2 linked regions of the Tamandua tetradactyla genome follow. Each later gene encodes a partner of the first gene's protein in a complex. Links are inferred from orthologs where the notes say so. Each region holds a gene or a part of one and is shown in the gene's direction. Other genes may lie near its edges.

Region 1 (10,193 bases):
CACATCACTTGGATGTGAGTCCCTTACTTGTTTATGTGATTGGGCAAGTCCTTTAATCTCTGTGCCTTGGTTTCTCTCTGTAAAACAGGGCTAACAATAACACTTTCTTTCTCATAGGGTTGCTATGAGGAACAAATAAGCTAATATATAGTGCTCTTATGACAGTCTGTGGCACATAAAAAGCACTATATAAATGTCAGTAGTTACTGTTTCTATTTTATGATGTTGTGAAGTGGGGCATACAATTTTCTTTTCCTTTCCTCGTGTGAGTTTCTATTTTACATGGAAAAGGCAAAAGATGCAAGGGTTTTCAAGCTGCCTCAGCTCTTCTTTTAATCCAGGGCTGAAGAAGTAGAACAATTTGACTTTGTTTTTAATTTATTACATGTAAGAATTTCTAATATGCCTTTGCTTTTGTGCTCAAGTTTTGATTCACATTTTATCTAGTTTCAGAGAATAAGACCCACAGTCTGGGAGGTGAACCCGTGAGACAAGAAGAGGCCCAGAAAACTCTGGTTGACAGCTGGGGACAGAGATCAAACACTCAAGGTACTAGAATCCCTGCTGCTTGCAGGGGGCCTCCTGGCTCCAGTAGTCCTTTGCAGTGTCTAGCTCCACAGTGGCATTGCCTGGAGGACTGTTTGGAGCTCTGAAAACCAGTGCTCCAGGCAGTCCTTCAGAAAGTCAAGGGAGTAGTAATCTGTGACTTAAGCAGACAACTTTATGAAATAGGAAAAGGCCAAGAATAGGCTGTCCCAGAGCTTTCAGCACTGACAGGCAACATAATGGATCCTTGACTTAGAAGGCAGTTGGAATCCACAAAACCCTCAGCTTTTTCTTCTGAGGCCTTAGAAAAAGACTGCCATGTCAGAACCTTCTAGAGTCACCTTGTCTTCTGCAGGTTCCGTTTTGATAAATCTGCTTCTGAAGCAGCCTTTGATCCCAGGGTCATCCCTAGGACTGTGCCACCTCCTGAGCAGTTATTCTGAGCTGCCTACTGGCACCCTCTTGCAGCCACCAGGGTTTGGCAGGTAAGTGTAAGGCTTCTGAAAAGCTCATTTGGGAAAGAGTTGCCAGGAAACAAGCCCCTTCTGGCCCTGGCCAGCTTGGGAGATCTGTGGGCTGGGCAGGGAGACTAGAGTTTGGCAGGGAGGCTGTTTGGGGCCTTTGACCTCTCCATTCCAAACTTGTCTCTTTTATGTTTGTTGCTAGTGCTGTGGCTGGGATTTTGGGCCTCAGGACCACAAGTTTTCGTGATGGGTCATTTTCTCTCTCATCCCTGAGAGAAGCACAGAGCCTGGCATTCACTGGACTGAATCTGGTTGCCAGGGATGAAGGCTTATGTGACCAAGACCCAGCAGAGGGAAGTAGACGGGCCTTCCCACTCTGCCAGCTTCCTGGAGCCGTGCATCTCCTCCCCCTCGTACAGTTCTTCATCGGCTTACATTGCCAGGCCCTGCACGATTTGACAGCAACTAAGAGAAGTGGAGCACCTGGGGATTCACAGACACATTCCTCTTGTGTGAGCTCTGGGGTAGAGGCCGGCCCCGAGGACTCACTTTGCAACCTGGAAGGCTTCTCTGTTGCTTCACTTAGCATTCTTCAGCACCTTGTGTGCCACAGCGGAGCAGTTGTCTGCCTGTTACTGTCGGGAGTTGGGGCAGATTCTAGAAACAGAAACGAGAGCCTAGCTCACAGACATGGTCATGAGGATATGACCTCAGTTCCAAAGGAGGTTGCTGATGACCAAGCTCAGCATCCACTATTGAAGATGCTTCTTCACCTGTTGGCCTTCTCTTCTGCAGCAGCAGGTCATGTGCAAGCCAGTGTCCTGAGCCAGTGTCTTAAGGTTTTCGTGAAATTAGCTGAAAATGCTTCGTTTGATTTTTTGCCCAGGTATAAAGCAGGGTGGGAGTTATGGTTCCTTATGGGTCTTACTTACGAGGTCTAGCCTGTGAACTCTTGTACTTTGTTCCCATCCTTGATTTATTTACCCTGCTCAGTTCTAAGACTTGGTTCAGGGAGGGCTAGGTGTTGGGAGAACCAAGAAAGTGGTTTATTTGGTTTAATTCTGCTTCTGTACAGCAGGTAAACAGAAGGCATGCATAAGAAAAGGAAGCTGTTAGCTACTATGGAAGAGGGTCCTGCCCCTAGGACCAAAGGCTGAACCAAGAGGTCTTTGAACCTGGGGCATGGATCAGGTGAAGGCCACACAGCCACAGTTAATTTTGGTAGGGTTCCGTAAGGAAGCAGAAGATATGGGGAGTGGGCCCTGCTGGGAGTCTAATCATCACTGTGCCTGCCTCTGGCATGAGCTACAGATTGCTTCCTGTTCCTCTTGAGGTTTGTTGGAAGTGGTAGAAAAATCCTAGCTTGGGATGCCAGGACCTCAAGACTGGGAAGAACTGTAAACACCTTGCAGCCCACCCTCCATCCAGTAATTCAGTCTCCTGCAGAGCACTCCAAGGGGCCAGTTCCTAGGTTGGAATGACTCCACTGGCTAGGAGTATCTTAAGTCTTCTCATCTCTGAGTTCCTTAAAACACTGCTGGATTCTGGTTTGCATCTGAATACATTCTGATTGGTCTGGTCCATCCTGAAAGCAGTGCTCACTCTGAACACAGTACGGCAGTGTAGGAGGAGCGGCACAGTGGGGGACACAACCCTGGTGCTTAGCTCATAGTAGCTGATTGCTCATTTCATATTTGTTCTTTAATGAATCAACTCCAGAAACCAAGTTTTCACCAGCTTTTTTGGCAGGCACACCAACATTCCATTCCTGTTGAGCTTCTCCACGAGGACATTTAAAAACAGCCATTTAATGAGTGCTGACTATAGGCCAGATACTGTGCCAGCGGCCTTCCATTCATTAGCTCCCGTGACACCCTCATAGCCCTGCTTCCTCATACCTAGTGCAGAGCCTGGCTTATTGTAAGTATTTGGTGAGTGAATAAATGCTAAACTGTAGGAAGTGTAGTATGGATGAGGGTGAGTTTCAGGCCAGGTGTCAAGTCTCCAGAGTCATTGTCCTTGATCACTGTCTCACACCAGTGAGTCTCTTCAGAATTCTTTCCTGCTTTTTGTGCTTAAGTAGAACTCCACTACCACATGGCTGCCTGTCTGCTTTGGAGTGAAAACCAAGCAGGAACAGGATTCTCAAGGCTCTAAAGCAATGTGATGCAATACCAATAATCAAGAAGGCTGCAGTTGTCTTATGGTCCTTAACTATCCCCTCATATCTTTATCTTTCCTACTGTGTCTCTAGTAGCCCTAGGGGTCCAGGGTTGTTCCCCAGGGACTGGCAGGGGTTCTGAGCAAATAAGAGTTCACTCCCAATTTAACCAGATCAGCGTGTTACCTATTTGGTATATTGGAACTTTACCAAAAACTTCACTTAAAAAGAAGGTTCCCATGCTATTGAAAAGTAAATTGGAAACCCCTGTGTCATATATGAAGGTGGACTTTCGCCCAAGTAGTTTCAGGGGCTTTAGTGGACTAGTTCGGAATCAGTTCTAACCTTATTTAAATTCCAGTTTCCCACAAAATCCCACATAACTTGGCAACTGAAGAACATGTAGCATGTCTGCTGTGTAGGATTTGCTCTAAATGAGTTCACCCAAAATAGAATGAGACTCTGCTTCTAATGACATACTGAGGAATATTTTGGTCCACTGGGCTTTGTGCTAACACCCTGCAGGTGCATGAAAGGTATGCACAAGCTAGACCCAGGGGTTGTTTTAGAATTGCCCTCCCACCTACCAAGCTAGTCCTGCCTCATACTCCCCTGAGCTGTGTGGACTGTGCAAACTGCAGTGGTTGTGTTGGGATTTGGTTCCTTGGTAAAAGTCATCCCTTTGCCCCTGGGACCTGGGAGAGAGTGTGCCTAGAGCCCTTCGTCAGTGCACAAGGCCACTGCAGACACCTCACGCTTGGCAGCAGAGGAGCCTGATGTCTTCTGACAAATGGTCTTCCTTGCTCTGAGTGTGATCTCATCGGTTCCAACCATAGTGAAGTCCACATTTGTCACAGCAGGAGCTCTGTTCAGTCCTTTGATGGTGGGCCTAGAATATTTCTCTCACACCAAATAATGGCTTGTACCATATTTGGTATCAATGGCAAGAAAGAGCCCAGGAGCTGGGTGGAAGCCAGGCCTCCTGGGTCCAGGGAGTTTGCTCCCATTTCCTGCGTGATGCAGTATCAGGTGAGGGACTGTCATCTCTAACCACAGCAGTCCAATAAAGGTCAGTACCCCTGTTTTCATGAAAAAAATGAGTTTCACAGCAAGTAGGTGGTAGTCAGCATTCAAACCCAAGTCTGGATGAACTGAGTCTCTTCTTTGTACTGCTGTGATCTGATTTCCCATTGCCTGTAGTGAAAAGTGAGGGTGAATGGTAGATTGGGGTTGGGAAGTGTTACATCTCTCTGGACCCTTGTTTTTTAGGTTCCAGTGTATGTTCCAGGTGCTGCCACAGTGTCTCAGCCCAGAGACACCCCTGCCTAGTGTGCTGTTGACCATTAAGCTCCTCTCTCTCCTGGTGGACCACGAGAAGCTCACCCCTCAGCTCTGTTCCCACTCAGGTAAAATGGGGTGGTGGGTGGACATCTGGGCTGCTGCAGATTGGAGGGAAAGGTTGTGGAGGGTCAGGGCCTCCTGGGGGCTTCTGCAGCTCATACCCTGAGCTCTGGGTGAGAAGGGGGCTCTGAGTGAGAGGTGGGCATCCTTTTCAGAAGGCTGCCTCCTCCTTCTGCTGTACACGTACATCACATCAAGGCCTGACAGAGTGGCCTCAGAGACACAGTGGCTTCAGCTGGAACAAGAGGTAAAATCTCCAGAGACCTTTCCAGGGACTGCTCACCATCCCACTCATGCCAAGGCCCCACGGAACCTCCTTTCTCTATCCTTCCCATCCTGAGAAGCGTGGGAGCTTTAATTCATTTAGGTAAGAGTTTATCAGGCAGCTGAGGAGGTGAACTTGGTTTGGGGACCCCATGCCATGCAGGTGCATGCCAGGTTGTCCTGGGACTTGCCAGAGTTACCTGATGACTAAGCCTGTTCTGACTTTGGGTCTGGTGACTTGAGCAGGACCTGGAGGCAAATGGGGTTTTTGGAGAGACACATGACAGTTGTGAGTCTGGCCCAGAAAAGCCCAGCACCCTTGGACCCCATTTGTGCAAACAAGCTGGAGCTCTTTTAGAAGCCTGAGAAAGCCCTTGCTTATAATCAGGGCCTCATTATGGTGGCTACAGAACAGTCTTCTTGTTCTAGGCGGTGTGGCTTCTGACTAAGCTTGGTGTGCAGAGCCCCTCCTCCCCAGCCACTGGCTCCAACTGCCAGTGCAATGTGGAGGTGAGTGGACAGGGGCGGGCAGGGGCTGACAGCATGGCAGCTCTGTTGGTGGATAAGGTGGCCCTGGGCAAGGACCCTATGCTCCCTTTAATCATGCTACCCATCACTCAGAACCTTCCTCTCCTGGGTGGGTGGGAAATGTGCTGGTCAGCCTCGTGAGCTGTTAGGGTGCAGGCAGCTGAAAGACTTGACCTCAGTCTGCACCCTCCACCAGGCTGTCAGAGCACTCACAGTGATGCTGCACAGACAGTGGCTAACGGTGCGGAGGGCAGAGGGGCCTCCAAAGACTGACCGGCATAAGCGAATAGTACGATGTCTGCGGGACACAGTGCTGCTGCTGCACAGCCTGTCCCAGAAGGACAAGCTCTTTACTGTGCACTGCGTGGAGGTCCTGCATCAGTATGACCAGGTGATGCCAGGGGTCAGCACGCTCATTCGAGGGCTCCCTGATGTGACAGACTGTGAAGGTGAGTGGGCAAGAGAACCCAGCCCTGTCCTAGCCCTCATGTGGGGTTTTCCCTGAAGTTCATGGACAGGTTAGACTTCTTGCCTTCCTTCAGCAGTCCTCCATCCACCACAGCTCTTTACAACACTGGCGACAGTCTCATTGTCTTGCTCCAGTTCTTTTAGACACGTTGAACTGCCGTTTGCTTATATGTTTTGTTGAGTTGGCCTGGCAGAGCCACGGTTTTTCCAGAGATATCCCTATCTGAATTGCCTTTGTATCACTTTGCTTGCAGTAGCTGAGGGAGCAAGGCCTGGGCGTGGAAGGGACTGGTTAGTTCCTGCGGGTTTTGGGGGAGGAGAGGTGGGACCTCCCCTATTCCCCAGCACTTTCAAGCCTTCATCATAGAACCCTCTTTTTCACTCAGAGGCAGCCCTGGATGACCTTTGTGCTGCTGAGACAGATGTAGACGACCCCGAGATGGACTGTGGCTGAGGTCCGTGAGCATCATGCCACATGGTGGCGCCAGCACTCCTGCTTTCCTCATCTCATCAACTGATTAAAAGCTGTGACAGGTTGTTCTTGCCAAGAACATGCCAGCCTTGGTGTTGTGTTTCCTGAGTCTGTCTGTGTTTGTCTGAGTGGGAGGGATGGAACAGGACTGGTCCCAGGGAAGGCTGGGATCCTTCCTCCTGTCCCTGCCCAGAGTTGAGACCCCATCCCCATGGTAACTAATCTGCTTTGAGGAAAGAGCTCTGCCCAGCCTGTGAAATTGTCCTGAGTCATTGTTTTGGGCTGGGGCCATGGGAAGAAATCAGTGTAAGGCAGGGAAGGAGGTGGCCTTCAGCCCAGGCCTAAACCAGGGAGGTCTGGGAAAGTGGAGCCGAGGGGTGGGCACAAAAGGGTCACAGCAGGAGCTCCCAGCAGTGTTTGAGTCATGGAGCTAGCCTCCCCAGACAGCCTGGGCACCCCTTGTATTTTCAGTTGGTGTCAGCTGGCAAGTCCACAGCTGTGGATCTAAGAAGCCTTAAGGGTGCCATGGCAGCTAGGGGGGAAGGGAGGGTTGCCTGGGGAGGGAACGGGTGTTGGCGAGAGAGGCCCAGGCAGGCTAAGAGAAGAGCAGGGCGGGCCTTGCTCACGCGGGCCTGTGGGCGGGCAAAGGCTGAGTTTCACTTCCCGCCACTGCTGGCCCTTGGCGAGAACCAGCCAGAGCACGCCAGAGTGATTGTGCCTGCCTGCTATTCGGTGAGTGCAGACCCCCAGGGGGATGGGACAGGGTGGATGGCTGTGGGGAGCCCCACCAGGCTAGGTGAGCACTGGGGGAGGGGGCCAAACCCACATGAAGAAGACAGGCCCACCCTCCCTCCAAACTGATAGAGTGTATGCTCCCACTGAGGAAGCTCCCCCGCTCCCCAGCTTCCTGCCCTCCCCACCTTAGATAACTTTTCCACAGGAGCATTCACAATGCCCCACCCCTTCCCCAGGCTCAGCGGCAGGTACTTGCCCCACCATGGGCTCACAGGCCCCACCCCCGGGTCCCATGCAGACCTTCATCTTCTTGGACCTGGAGGCCACTGGCCTGCCCTTTTCCCAGCCCAAGGTCACGGAACTGTGCCTGCTAGCCATCCACAGATGTGCCCTGGAGAGCCCCCCTGCGCCCCAGGGGCCAACCCCTACAGTGCCTCCACTACCCCGGGTGGTAGACAAGCTCTCCCTCTGCGTGGCTCCAGGGAAGGTCTGCAGCCCTGCGGCCAGCAACATCACGGGCCTGAGCACGGCTATGCTGGCAGCACATGGGCGGCAGCGCTTCAATGCCGACCTGGCCAACCTGCTCCAAACCTTCCTACAACGCCAGCCACAGCCCTGGTGCCTGGTAGCACACAACGGTGATCGCTATGACTTCCCCCTGCTCCAGGCAGAGCTGGCTGCAGTGGGCCTTGCCAACACACTGGATGGTGCCTTCTGCGTGGACAGCATCGCTGCCCTGAAGGCCCTGGAGCGAGGCAGCAGCCCCTCTGCGCATGGCCCAAGAAAGAGCTACAGCTTGGGCAGCATCTACACACGCCTATTTGGGCAGAGCCCACCAGACTCGCACACAGCTGAGGGTGACGTCCTGGCCCTGCTCAGCATCTGTCAGTGGAGGCCACAGGCCCTGCTGCGGTGGGTGGATGCTCACGCTAGGCCCTTCAGCACTATCAAACCCATGTACATGGTCACAGCCTCCACTGGGACCAACCCTAGGTCATCTGCTGCCAAAGCCACCGCACCCCTGGCTGTACCCAAAGACACCAGTCCCAGCACAAGGGTGGGCAGGAAGTCCAAGTCTCCTCCTCCAGTGAAGGGCCCTGGAGCCCTACCCAAGAAGGGGCTGCTGGCCCCACTGGGCCTACTGACCCTCCTGACCTTGTTAATAGCCATACTGTATGGGCTGTCCCTGAGTATCCCTGGGCAGTAAGGCCAACAAGGAAAATCTGACTAATAAAGACCCCAACAGCACTACCTGGTCACTCGCCTCCTGCCCTCCTTTGCAACCTGGGCCTCTGCCCACACAGGAACCTGGGGGAGGAGGGGAGATCACAGACCGTGGCACAGTCTTTGTCTTCCACCCTTCCCAGCAGGATGGTCAGAAGTCTAAGCCCAATAAAAGTAGAACCTGGTCAAAAACTGAAATTGTAAGTGTTGAATGGAAATGGTACATCCCAACAGCCAAGGCTATGAAGAAAGGGGCTGCCGCTCCAAATTTGTATTTATTATAAAGAAGTATATAGACCACAGATCCTTTCTTAGAAACACATTAGCAGATACAAAGCTAAGACATTTCTGGTGAAACATTAACAAAAGGGATGGGGAACACCAGGGTATTCATGTCTAGGCCAGAGCTGCCATCCAAGGGCACTGCCCACCTTCGGTCCAGATGGCCCCTGGGTCCAGGTGTCCCCACTGCCAGTATGAATTGTGGACTGAGGTTCAAGAAGCTGGATCACCGTAGGGGTGGTGTCTGGGGAAGTAGGGACTACGAGAAGCTATATTTCCTCTTTTCTGTAAGACGATTTCTCCCCAGGACCCAGAGGTTTCAGCCTCACAGCAAACATCACACACACTTGGAAACAGAACACAGTGGGTAATATTTGGCTAAAAGTAAAACACTGCAGGGAAGAGACCTGAGTCTGTTGGCGGACAGAGGCCACCCTGCCAACCTGTGGCAGGAGTTTGGGCCAGCAAGGGCAGGAAAGCTTCCCCAAGGGCAGCCGTAACCATGGGTGGACGTGGACGTCCAGGTGGTCCCAGGGAGGATGCAGGGCATAGGGAGAGTCCACCAAACAACTGTCACATGCCAAAACTGGCCCTGAGAATGGTCCAGAGTGGGTGGGGCCCTGCCAGAGATGTTTTGGTATCAAGAAGCTGCCAGAGCCCCTTGGCCCACAACCCCAGGCTATGGGCATCTGCCCCAAAGGCTTGAAACCTAACTCAGTCAGATCCAAAACTTTGCCCACTTGCCGGCATCTTGGCTCTGGCACTAGGAAGGGCACCTCACACCCTGGGGCCAAGCTGTGGCATTGAGCAGAGACTGGCTACTCTGCCAAAACAAGGACACATGTCTTGTCCACAAAATGCTTTGCTATCCCCACGAGAGAAGCCCCACCTGATCTCCGTGAGGCATTCTAAAAAATACCACCACCTCAATTCTTCTGAGTTTTGCTTGAGATTTCAGAAAGCATGATTTCAAGTGAATAGGAGGACAAAAAGTTTAGTCCAAGCCCACTCTGGCAAAGATTATTTCCAACCTCAACAGCATCAAAGGAAGCATGTGTAGAGACAGAACACACATATGCACACCACGCATGGGGCAGGAAATAAACGTGCCCACCAATCTACTCACACACACAACACAATCACAGTGGCAGCCAGACTGCTCAGGGGGCCGCCTTTGGGGGATCCATGTAGGCCGGGTTGTAAGGAGGCTGGCTAATGGGGTAGGGCATGGCTGCATCTCCTGAAAATAAAGAGGACACTGGTTGGTTGTGGGCATCATGGGCTACCGTGGAGTGGGCAGACCAGCAGGAAGGGGTAGAGGACCTAACTGAGCCATGCACTCTGGGATGGATGCCCTGGGAGGGATCTGAAGGGGGAGTCCGGACTTCAGGGGTCAAGGGGGTCACAGAGTTGGCTGTGGTACTCACCAGACAAAGTCTCCTGGTAGGCAGGCGGGCCCAAGGGCTGGGTCGGGTAGGGCGGTGGGTACTGCGTCGGGTAGGATGCCACTGGCATCCCTGGGTGGGGAGCCATGGGGTGGTAGCCCTGGTATGTCGGTCCAGGGTATCCGGGTGGCATACTGGGAGCCTGTGGGTATGGGCTGTGCACCACAGTGGTGGATGAGGTGGTGGTCACAACCGCTGCAAAG
Region 2 (11,042 bases), on another chromosome or scaffold:
TGCTCTGTTGTTGCCATCTTGAAATTCTTAATCTTGAGCAGGCGACATTTTCCTTTTGTATTGGGCCCTACAAATTATGTAGCTCGTCCTGGTTTTTATATATTCCATTCCCTTGCTTGCTGTTTTTGGTTACCTCTACTTTGTCTATGTAGTGTGCCTATCCTATCTGTGGTGGAGGCATTTGAAGAATGAACTCTGTCCCAACATCAGTCCTGCTGCCTAGCACACTGAACTATAGCTGTTTGTCTTCTCCCAGGTCTCTACTGCACCTCTTACAGGCAAGGACTCCAGCCTTGGCTCACTGTAGCCGCCATGTCCTGTTGGCATTTTGCCCAGGAGAACAGCATTTCTGTGCACCCTGTGTGGATAGTGGTTTCACACAGCTGGGGCCCTGTGTGCCGAGCACTGGGTGAAGTCTGGAGGAGCTTGCACCATTGACTTGCCTCCCAGGAGCTTATGCTTGAGTTGGGGGCATAGACACCTAAAAAACATTTTTATTGTTGTTTATAAAAAATAATGCTTGTTCAACATTTATTCACCTAGTTACAATGCAAGTTTCATGATGGTTTGACTCACTACCTCATTCCCAGCTTCTCTTATTGTATCTGGCACAATAAAGAAGACATTCGTTAAGCGATTGCTTTAGTGTCCAGCTCCCCATTAGGCTGATTACAGAGGACAATCCCTGACTGAGGAGGATCGAATGCTTAATAGACAATTAAATGATTCATGTGGCGGCTGCCCTCACCCCCAGGATGCTCAGAGCTGGGTGATGGGAAGGCTTCCTGGCGAGGGGGATTTGAACTAGAGTTGTAGTTCAAGGGTGAGGTGGGAAGTGATGAGATTGGAGGAAATGGGGATTGGGGGGTTGAGAATGGGGGGCCTTGTAGATTATGTTTAGGGACTTGAATTTTTTTTCCAGGAGCAGTGGGAAGCCAGGAATATTTTCTGTAGGCTGGAGTTTGCACTTTGTAAGTTAAACAGATATTATCTCCTTTCTGTAGAGGCAGAATATCGTGCTTGGCGATATAGCTAGGTCATTGAGCCGGTTGGTCCTTCGACTCCACGTCAAAGCTTATTTCCAAGTGGTCCAGGCTGCCTCCTCACCACTTCCTTCCTCCCAGTCACAGAGCCCTGCTTTGGAGGCAAAAACAGGCTTGAAATGACAGGGACCAGGGCTGCAATATTGAGAATGGAGAGGAAAGGTCAAATTTAAGAGTTTTAAGGACAAGATTTCACAGTTTTGAAATAAGCAATGGTTGTTCCTTAAGAGTTAGTAACACATACATGTTTATAATCAGAATTTCAGCTCCCATTGTTGAGAAATGACTGATGTGTCCCCTTACTTGGGATCAAGTTTTTTCAGGAAATTCAGGGGCCCTGGCATTGCTGAGCCCCTCAGCCATTTTACCACCTACTCCATTTCCCGCAATCTGATTTCTTTGGAATCTTCATTGCCTTCCCAGTCACATCTTTTGGGGACTGAGTATTATGAATATGAGGGGTCCTCTTGAGTGTTAAATTTGAAGAATGAAGCATACAATCCTGTGTAGGTTTGTTTTAGGGGATTGAAAGTTCTTTATACTGAGTAATTCCAGTTGTTGGACTAGAGAAAGTAACCACATTCAGATATTTTTAAATGGCCAGTAGTATTGTAACTCTAAACCCAAAGTACAAATTTTCAGTTTAATTTTAACTCCTTTAACTTTGCACTTAGCTCACACCCAGGACTTGGCAAAGGAAATGGGCCTTAATTTTTTTTTTTTTCCTTTTCTTTCTTTTTTAAACAGAACACACCCTGGATGTGAAAGGTATGTTCTTTTCATTTTGAAGGTTTTTAGAGCAGAGGCTGCCCAGTACAGATGAGAGGAATGGGGTTGGAATTGCAACAGAAGGAGTTAAGAATCTTAAATCTCTGGGGTCAGAAGTTTTGAAACATGTTAGCCTATCCTGAGACTCTCCATGGAGGTGGGGGATGGGCTAAGTAACATTCACAGGTCAACTGTTGAGCTGGTGATTTTGCTTTGCCTTGTTTGATTTGTTTAGACACTTCACAGGCAGCCTATCCTGCTGTCCCCAGTGTAACACACCATCCTGCCTTGCCTTGCAGAAGAAGTCGTGGGCTCCCCACCATGTGGCTTTAGGCTTTTTGGTGATATTCACCAACCTCAAAATCAAAGTCCTGACCTCTCCCTTTTCTCTTTGATCTCACCTCAAACAGTGCTGAAACCCCTACCAGGAAGGAAGTACACATGCAGTGGGCATTCCAGAGACTCTACTACCTCGACTATTAACAGCCATCTGGTCCTTCAGAAACCATAGGGTTTCTCAAGTGAATGGGAACATCTTTTCAGCTCCTGGAGGAGAGAGCTTGGTTCCCAGACGCTTCAGGGTCCCTCCAGATTCTTGCTTTCTGACTGCAGCATCATCTGAGCAAGGGCCCAGCTGGGTTTTGTCCTTTGGTTACCAAGGAAGTGTAACCAAAGGACTGTGTAACATCTGGGACTGCTAGAAGTGGCGCCCACCCAGCTAATGGGACAGCTGGAAAAGGGGTTAAAGGGAACAGTTGTGGTTAAGGGAACTTCTACACTTGAGTTGATGTTCTGGGAGAGTTTGTGCCCTTTTCATCTTTTTTTTTTTTTTTTTTTTTTTTTCTGTTTTATTGATAATGGCCATTCTGGTGGGTGTGAGATGATATCTCATTGTGGTTTTGATTTGCATTTCTCTAATAGCCAGGGAAGTTGAGCATCTCTTCATGTGCCTTTTGGCCGTTTGTATTTCCTCTTCTGAGAAGTGTTTGTTCAAGTCTTTTGCCCATTTTGTAATTGGGTTGGCTGTCTTACTGTTGTTGAGTTGAACAGTCTCTTTATAAATTTCATCTTTAAAGCCAACACTGACCACCTTGATTAGTATGTACCCCTCTAGGGTCAAGTCCTGAGATTTTAGGATAAGTGGTTCACCCCAACTCCTACCTTATTAAAAAAAAAAAAAAACAACCAAAACTTCATATTTTAAAATAATATCAGACTCACGCACAGTATAGTTACAAAAATAACACAGACCCCATACAGAAAACTCCAGCATACCCCCACGCCCCCAGATACCCAGATCTACCATTTTAACATCTTGCCACCTTTGACATATCCTTCTATCTTCCATTTATCCTGTCTGTCTGCCTGTATCTATCTAGCTGTTGTCTGAACATTTGAGAGTAGGTTGCATACATCATACTGCTTAAATATGTGATAATTCCATGTACATTTCTTACAAACAAGGATATTCATTTATGAAATTACCCAAAGTACAGTTTTCAAGTTCAGGAAATTTAATATTGATATATACCTTACATTTTACATTCTCGTATTTTCTTGTGTCCCAATAATGTCTTTTTGAACCTTTTCTCCTCCATTCTTATATCCCATCCAGTATCATACATTGCTTTTAATTCTTTTTTAAATGTGAAAACATATATATAACATAAATTTATCCATCCCAGTCCCTCCCAAGGATACTATTCACTTAATCACCACCATCCATTACTAGAACTTTCCCTCCACCGCAAACAGAAACTCTACACTCGTTTTACATTAACTCCCCATTTCCCCTGTTCCCCACCTCTGACAACCTCTACCCTGTTTTCTGATTTTTTTTTGTGGTTATGATGGGGCTTATAACATTTTAAATCTTTAGCAGCCTCATTTGCTTTGATACCACCTTAACTTCTAAGAGCATATATAAACTGTGTTCCTGTACCCCTCTATCACCTCACCTTTGTGTAATTCTTGTCATAGATTACATATTTATACGTTATAAATCCAAAACCGTTGATTATTTGTGGGAAGCAAAAAGTGGAGTTTCAAATTTAAAATATGATAGTGCGGGTATTTATATTTACTCATTTCACTGTCTTTACTGGAGATCTTTATTTCTTCCTATGGCTTCAATCAGTGTCTAGTGTTCCTCCCTTTCAACTGAAGAACTCCCTTTAGCATTTCTTATAAGGTCAGATAACTGATTACAATGTCCCTCAGTTCTTGTTTGTCTGTGAGTGTCTTAGTTCCTTCCTCTTTTTATTTATTTTTTTTTATTTTAGTAACATACCAACTAAAATTTCTCCCTTTTTAACTGTATTCAGAAATGTAATCTCCTTCATTTTTTAAATATTTTCTTTAAATTGTGAAATATAACATACACACAAAAAAGCAATAAATTTCCAAGTACATTTTAACAAGTACTTATAGAACAAATTTTCATGTTTGGTATTGGTTATGGTTCCACAATTTTATTTTATTTTTTTTCTTGTAGCTGCTCTTAAGACACTAGAGACCAACAGAAATATCAATATAATGATTCAGGAGTCATACTCATTTGTTAAATCCTTTCTTCTCTGTTATACGTCTCTTCTTTAAATAGCATATATATACATAAAAGCAATAAATTTCAAAGTATATCACAACATTTCCTTCATTGTTGAAAGACAGTTTTGCTGGATACAGAATTCTTGCTTGGTGATTTTTTTTTTTTTTTTTGCTTTTAGCATTTTAAATCTGTCTTCAGTGCCTTCCTGCCTCCTTGGTTTCCATAGAGAAACCAGCACTTGAATCTTATTGAGGCACCCCTGTATGTGGCATTTAGCTTCTCTTTTGTAGTCTTAAGAATCCTCTCTTTATCCTTGGCAGTCAGCAGTTTGATTATAACATGGCAAGGCATGGATCTATTTGGTTTTATCCTGTGTGGAGTTCATTGAACATCCTGAATATGTATATTCATGTGTTTGCTTAATTTGGGGAGTTTTCAGCCATTATTTCTTTGAATATTCCCTCTGCCCCTTTCCTCTCTTTCTGGGACCCCCACAATGGTGATAAGCTTGATGATGTCCCACAGGTTCTTCAGGCTCTGTTCACTTTTCTTCATTTTTTTCTTTTTTCTCCTCCTCAGACTGGATGATTTCTGTTGTCTTCAAGCCCCACTGATTTTTTCTTCTGCGAGCTCCAATAAGCTGTTGAACCCTTCCTGGGAACTTACATTTCTGTTACTATGGTTTTTCAGCTCTGTTTGGTTCCTTTTCATAATTTCCATCTCTCTGTTCTCTTTATGTTCATCTGTCCTTTTCCTGATTTCCCTTAGTTCTTTGTCCATGTTTTCCTTCAGCATCCTGAGTATATTTGGGACTGATTTTTAAAAATCTGACTGATACATCTCAGATCTGGTTCTCCTCATTGATGGTTTCTAAGGCTTTAATTTTCTCTCTTGTCTGTGCCATCTCTTCCTGTATCTTTTGTATGTTTTACAGTCTTTTGTGAAACCTGGCTATTTTGATATTTTAGTGTGCTATCTTGAAATTTAGATTTTGAGTCCCCAATTCCTTAAGCTTTTATCAAGCTAGTATTCTGATAGTGCTTTCTTTGAATGCCAGGAATTAACAGTAAAAAAGGAAACACCTTTCCCAGTCTTAGCAGATTGATCTATGCAAGTGCTGCCCTTCAGAGCTTATCTGCACAGTCAATTTGGAGAATAGCTCCAAGCCAAAGCCTGGGGCTTCCTTGATCTTTTCCTACGGGCCTCTTACCTTGGGCATGTGCTCACGGCCCTAGAAATTCCCTCATGTATGCGGTTCCACGTGTCCCCTCATCCCTAGAAAACTGTTTTCTCACCATTCTGGGCACAGTACTGTTTGTCCTACAGCCAGCAACCCCTTGCTCCAGGCAGCACGGCTTGACTGCTCTCCCACAATGCTTTGTAGGAGACCTCAGTGAACTGCCTCCTCTACATGCAAGCCAAGTTCTGGGACAGCAAATCCCTCAAGTCACCACCGGATAGGTCAGGCCAGACATACATGTTCCCCGTATGTCAAAGAGGGTTACTTTGCTCCTTCTGTAACCAGGCCCAGAGCTCACACTGGGAGTGCAGGTTGACCAGCCAGAGCTTCGAAAGATCCTGTTACTTTTAATTTGTCTTTTTCTTGGTTTGGTTCGGTTCTTGACCTGTTACTGCAGTCGTTTAACTGTTTTCTAGAACTTAAGAAAGATTATTTTTGCCAGTTGTTGCTGGTCGTTCAAAGCTTCTGTGGGGGAACAGAGCCCTGAAGTGTCTCATTCAACCATATTAATTGGGACTTTCAGATAGGTAGTTCTGCTGTGAGTATAAGATGAGGAGACTACCCCAATATAATGCATGTGATATACCTAGAGTGTGCCTGAAAAGGCTCAAGAAAGATTCTGGGATTATTAGTAATAAAGTTAGTAATGGCAGTGGCTTGTGTACTGTCCCCGAGTTTGGGTGTGGTGTTGGGAGCTGGGAAGTATCCTGGTCTGAGCTTTGAAACCCTGCCCTGTGTCTGTAGTATTCCTAGGCTGCCAGCAGGAGTGGCAGGCAGTATTGTGCCTCTCTGGGAAAGAGGCCAACTTCCAGGAGGAATTCCCTGACTCCCCAGCACTCCCTTCCCCCATTTCTGAGGCTCTCCTCTCCTTGGTTAATGGCAGTAAGAGGAGAAGCCCTTGACCCATCTAGCAAAACCACGTCTGAAATCTTTGAGGGTGGACTGGAATCCCTTTTCATATTTGTCTTTCTTTGTGGGAGCTTAAAAGAATTCCCAGGGCCTTCCAAGGAAGCCAGTTACTAAAGAAGACTGTTTAGTCTTCTTTATTAACTTCTTTTTTAGACCTTGTGACTCCAGTGTTTACTGCAAATGAAAGCGATGGTTCCCCCTCCCTCCCTCAATATAGTTGATTTCTGTATGTTCGCTCTGATCTCCTACAGCCTGGCTTCCTGACTCTGTATTGTTTTCCTGTCCGAGAGCAGAAGGCCTCACAGAATTTATTCCCAGGCACTCTTGGCCAACAACTTTGAGAAGGTGGTTTGACCTGGCCATCTAGCCTCTCCTGGGGCTTGAGGAGGGTAAGAAAGGAACTTAACTTATTTCATCTCAGAACCAATTTCAGAAAGGTGGGCCTTGGTGGCCAGGGTATCTCTGGGAAAGAGCTGCCATTCCCTGGGTTTTATCCTCTGTGATCTATGCCAGATCAAACCTAAAAACTGCTGCTGGCTGAGACAGGGTGCTCTGCCTCTGTTCTGAGGAAAAATTGGAAACAGAGTAGCTGTGGGCCCCTGCAGGACTCAGATGCAGGTGTGCCCTCAGGGGTCCCCTGCTGGCAGGGATGGACCAAGGGGAGGCTGGGTATCCTGTCCCCAGCTCTTCTTCCAAGTTTCCGCTTGGCTCAGAGATGCCTGAGTAGGAGGGAGACACTATTCTTTCTACCCCACCTGGAGGACTGTGACAAGCTGTGGTCATCTTGGACCCTTTGGAAGCTAGACAAACTGGCCTGCTCAGAGCCTGGGGCACTGTGGAGGGTGGGAGGGAAGGAACTGCCCTAGACAAGGGCTGGGTTGAATGTCCATCTGCCTGTCTAAGAGAAGAAAAGACTTCAGACAATTGGAGGGCTACTATTGAGGACAAACCTGTTCCATGTGAGCTATTGGTGAAAAATCAGGACCTGTGGATGGAAGTCTGGAAGTCCCAGGAGACATCAGTAAATGTTTCCTGGCAGGCTGCAGGTAGTAGAAAGGTGAGGATGGCTGTGATCCTGGGCTGGGTATTATAGGGGGTTTTGAGTATCAGATACAGCCCTGAGGGATCACCTTTAAGGAGCTTTTCAGCCCTGGTTTATTTCATGCCTGAGACTTAATTACTTTCTCTCAGATGATCTTCCTACCATCTTTACTAGAGCCTGGAATTTCACTTGCAACTCTATTCCTGCATTTAAGACAAATCTACTTCTAAAAGCCTCCTTCTGTCTCCTTAGAAATAAAAGTTGTTTTTGTTTTTAATTTTTTTAAACATAACATACAAATGTGAACATTATTAGCATATGATCATTCCATTCTTGGTATATAGTCAAAAACTCAAAGTATCATCACTGTGATCATTTCTTAGAACATTTGCATTAATTCAGAAAAAGAAAAGAGAACAAAACTCATACATAACATACCCTTTACCTTTCCCTCTCATTGGACTACTAATATTTCCATCTACCCAATATATTTTAGCCTTTGTTTCCCCTATTTTTTTCTATTCCCATTACCATTCCCTTTCATTAATCACTAGCAGTTCAATTTACTAAATTTAACATTTGTTCCACCTATTATTTATTTATTTTTAATCCCTATGTTTTACTTATTTGTCCATACCGTAGATAAAAGGAGCATGAGACACAAGGTTTTCACAATCACACAGTCACATTGAGAAAGCTGTATCATTATACAATCATCTTCAAGAAACATGGCTACTGGAACACAGCTCTGCATTTTCAGGCACTTCCCTTCAACCTCTCCAATATAACATAACTAAAAAGGTGATATCTAAATAATGCGTAAGAACAACCTCCGGGATAACCTCTCAACTCTGTTTGAAATCTCTCAGCCATTGACACTTTATTTTGTCTCATTTCACTCTTCCCCATTTAGGTCAAGAAGGTTTTCTCAATCCCTTGATGCTGAGTCCCAGCTCATTCTAGGATTTCTGTCCCACATTGCCAGGAAGGTCCACACCCCTGGTAGTCATGTCCCACGTTGGGGGGGGGGGGGCAGTGAGTTTGCTTGTCCTGCTGACTGAGAGAGAGGCCACATCTGAGCAACAAAAGAGGTTCTCTTGGGGGTGACTCTTAGGCCTAAATTTTAAGTAGGCTTGACCTATCCTTTGTGGGGTTAAGTTTCATATGAGCAAACCCCAAGATTGGGGGCTCAGCCTGTAGCTTTGGTTGTCCACACTGCTTGTGAGAATATCAAGAATTCAACTTGGGAAAGTTGCATTTCTCCCCATTCTCACCATTCCCTGAAGGGGACTTTGCAAATACTTTTCCACTCACTGATCAAATCACTCTGGGATTCATCGGGGCATCACTCTGGACAAACCTACAAACTCTCATGCCCTACTCAAGGTTCCATGTACTTGTGGTATTCAATTAAACTGTCCACACAATTTATATTAGGAAATGCACTAGTCAAATTATAAATTTTTTACCAAATAAACATTGTTTTGCTTTAGTCTCACATAAATTAAAGTTTTTAAAATATGAATTACCATGTTTTCAGCACCCTGCAATACTGACGTTCCTTTGTTCTTCCTCATGCAAAAACATTTTATAATTTGTACATTTGGTCACTATCATTGTACACTCTAGGCATTCCTAGATTATACCATCTTAGTCTTTATCGTCTGTCTTTCCTTCTGATCTCATTTGTGCCTGTCATTCTCACATTCAGCTTCAAGAAATAAAGGGTTTTAAGACTCAAATTTGTGGTAAGAGGAGAAGGGAGAACATAAGGACTCTAATAAGGCAAAACTACCTCTAGGGAGTTGGAGAGGGATAAGAGGTCAGAGGTACTGCCAAAGGCCTTTTAGGCTTTGCCAACCTCAGCATGTCATGGGCCAACCTTAGGTTTGTGGCTTGATTTCCATTTTTGCCTCCCACTTCTTTGCTCAGGACCCCGAAGAGCAAAATTAAAGTTGTGTTGTTCTATATAATTCTTAATACTTAATTAAAATTGAATTTAAAATTCAGTTCATCGGTCACACTAGCCACATTTTGAGTGCTCAGAAGCCACATGTAGCTAGTGGCTACTCTCTTAGACAGTGAGGAACATTGCCCAAATTGCTGGATGTTCTATTGGACAGTGCTGGTCTGGAGAGGAAGAAGAGTCCTGGTCTGCTGCCCGTCGTGGAGCAGGCCAATGGGTGACCTTGGTGATGAATGCCAGCATCAGGTGGGCAGGCTTTGCCTGATGTCAGGAGCTGGTGAGAGCGAGCATGTGTGTGAATCTGGGAAACTGTCAGCAGGCAGCAGGTCAGGGACTCGTGGAGGCAAAAGGAAGTGGGGCGGTGAGGATCAGAAGTAGGTAGCTGGGATGGTTAGGTTGGGGTCATAAAAAAGGCACTGGAGTCAGGGGAGATCTGATAGTGTTGAGTCCTAGGCCCAGAGGTCCTCAACAACATAGTGGCCAGTCCTGGTAGGGAGCTGTGGGACTGGTGTTTTCGTTTTAAATGGGGTTTGGGGGAGAATGTGGCATTAGGGTTGGAATAAAACCACCTTCCTGGGCATAGCAACAGAGCCTGTTGGATTTGTCTCCTCCAGTCCAGCAAAAGCTCCTGTCTGAAGTGGCTTCCTGGTTTGGCAACTCTGCAACCCGACCCTCCTTTTCTCCTCAATAGTGCTGAAGGCAGAAAGACCAGGATAGGTGAACTGTCCTTTGATCATTGGCAGAACAGTGATCCAGAAGAACCAGAAAAGCTCTGTCTCCATACCCACAAAGGAGGGCTCTCTGTCACCGTTTCCACTACTTCTGCCTTCCCTTAACTTCCATTCATGCATAACTTTCCTTTCCAGGTGAAAGAGCTTGTCCTGGACAACTGTCGGTCGAATGAAGGCAAAATCGAAGGCCTCACAGATGAATTTGAAGAACTGGAGTTCTTAAGTACAATCAATGTAGGCCTCACCTCAGTCGCAAACTTACCAAAGTTAAACAAACTTAAGAAGGTAAATATGAGAGTGTAGGGAGTATGTGTGTGTTGGGAGGAGGAAGGGATTACTTTGTGTTTCAGGAGCATAATTGCAGGTATAAAACCAGGTGCATGCACCAACATGCCAGATAATTCCTTGAGACAACTTGCCCTTTCTCTTGGATGGGGGGAGATCCACACAGCTCTGCACTGAGTGCCTTGGTTTTAGGAGCCATTTCTGCTTTTTCTTTCCCTGCCTTGTTTAGCTTGAACTAAGTGATAACAGAATCTCAGGGGGCCTGGAAATATTGGCAGAAAAGTGTCCGAACCTCATGCATCTAAATTTAAGTGGCAACAAAATTAGAGACCTCAGCACAATAGAGCCACTGGTAAGTCATTTGAACTCTCTCCTCTCCACTGGGGTGGGCTGAGCGGGAGCAGGGAGAAATTGGTGTTGGGGAATACTACCCTTGCATTTATATAACTTGCTATTTGTTTGTTTGTTTTTGTACTTATTTGATTCTTCTTACTGTGCTATGAGATAGAA

Evidence for each region. Proteins that work in one complex are often made in the same cells at the same time.
Region 2: TREX1 (region 1) and ANP32A share a complex: the UniProt entries of both Homo sapiens proteins name them as parts of the SET complex. The link is inferred for Tamandua tetradactyla from reciprocal best matches to the Homo sapiens genes TREX1 and ANP32A.

The regions. Positions count from the first base shown.
Region 1 is NC_135341.1:37,816,433-37,826,625, reverse strand, and holds TREX1 (three-prime repair exonuclease 1), read left to right. Parts: upstream 1-6,512; 5' UTR 6,513-6,829; coding exon 6,830-7,036; intron 7,037-7,275; exon of another isoform or gene 7,276-7,301; coding exon of another isoform or gene 7,302-7,385; coding exon 7,386-8,246; 3' UTR 8,247-8,521; downstream 8,522-10,193. Other genes in the region: ATRIP (ATR-interacting protein), read left to right, coding at 448-549, 902-1,031, 1,213-1,896, 4,441-4,577, 4,728-4,819, 5,266-5,346, 5,561-5,813, 6,219-6,286; SHISA5 (protein shisa-5), read right to left, coding at 9,706-9,785, 9,973-10,185. UniProt on the Homo sapiens protein: Major cellular 3'-to-5' DNA exonuclease which digests single-stranded DNA (ssDNA) and double-stranded DNA (dsDNA) with mismatched 3' termini. Prevents cell-intrinsic initiation of autoimmunity.
Region 2 is NC_135340.1:86,157,895-86,168,936, reverse strand, and holds the start of ANP32A (acidic leucine-rich nuclear phosphoprotein 32 family member A), read left to right. Parts: upstream 1-6,593; 5' UTR 6,594-6,897; intron 6,898-7,411; 5' UTR 7,412-7,499; coding exon 7,500-7,565; intron 7,566-10,382; coding exon 10,383-10,532; intron 10,533-10,761; coding exon 10,762-10,884; intron 10,885-11,042. UniProt on the Homo sapiens protein: Multifunctional protein that is involved in the regulation of many processes including tumor suppression, apoptosis, cell cycle progression or transcription. Promotes apoptosis by favouring the activation of caspase-9/CASP9 and allowing apoptosome formation.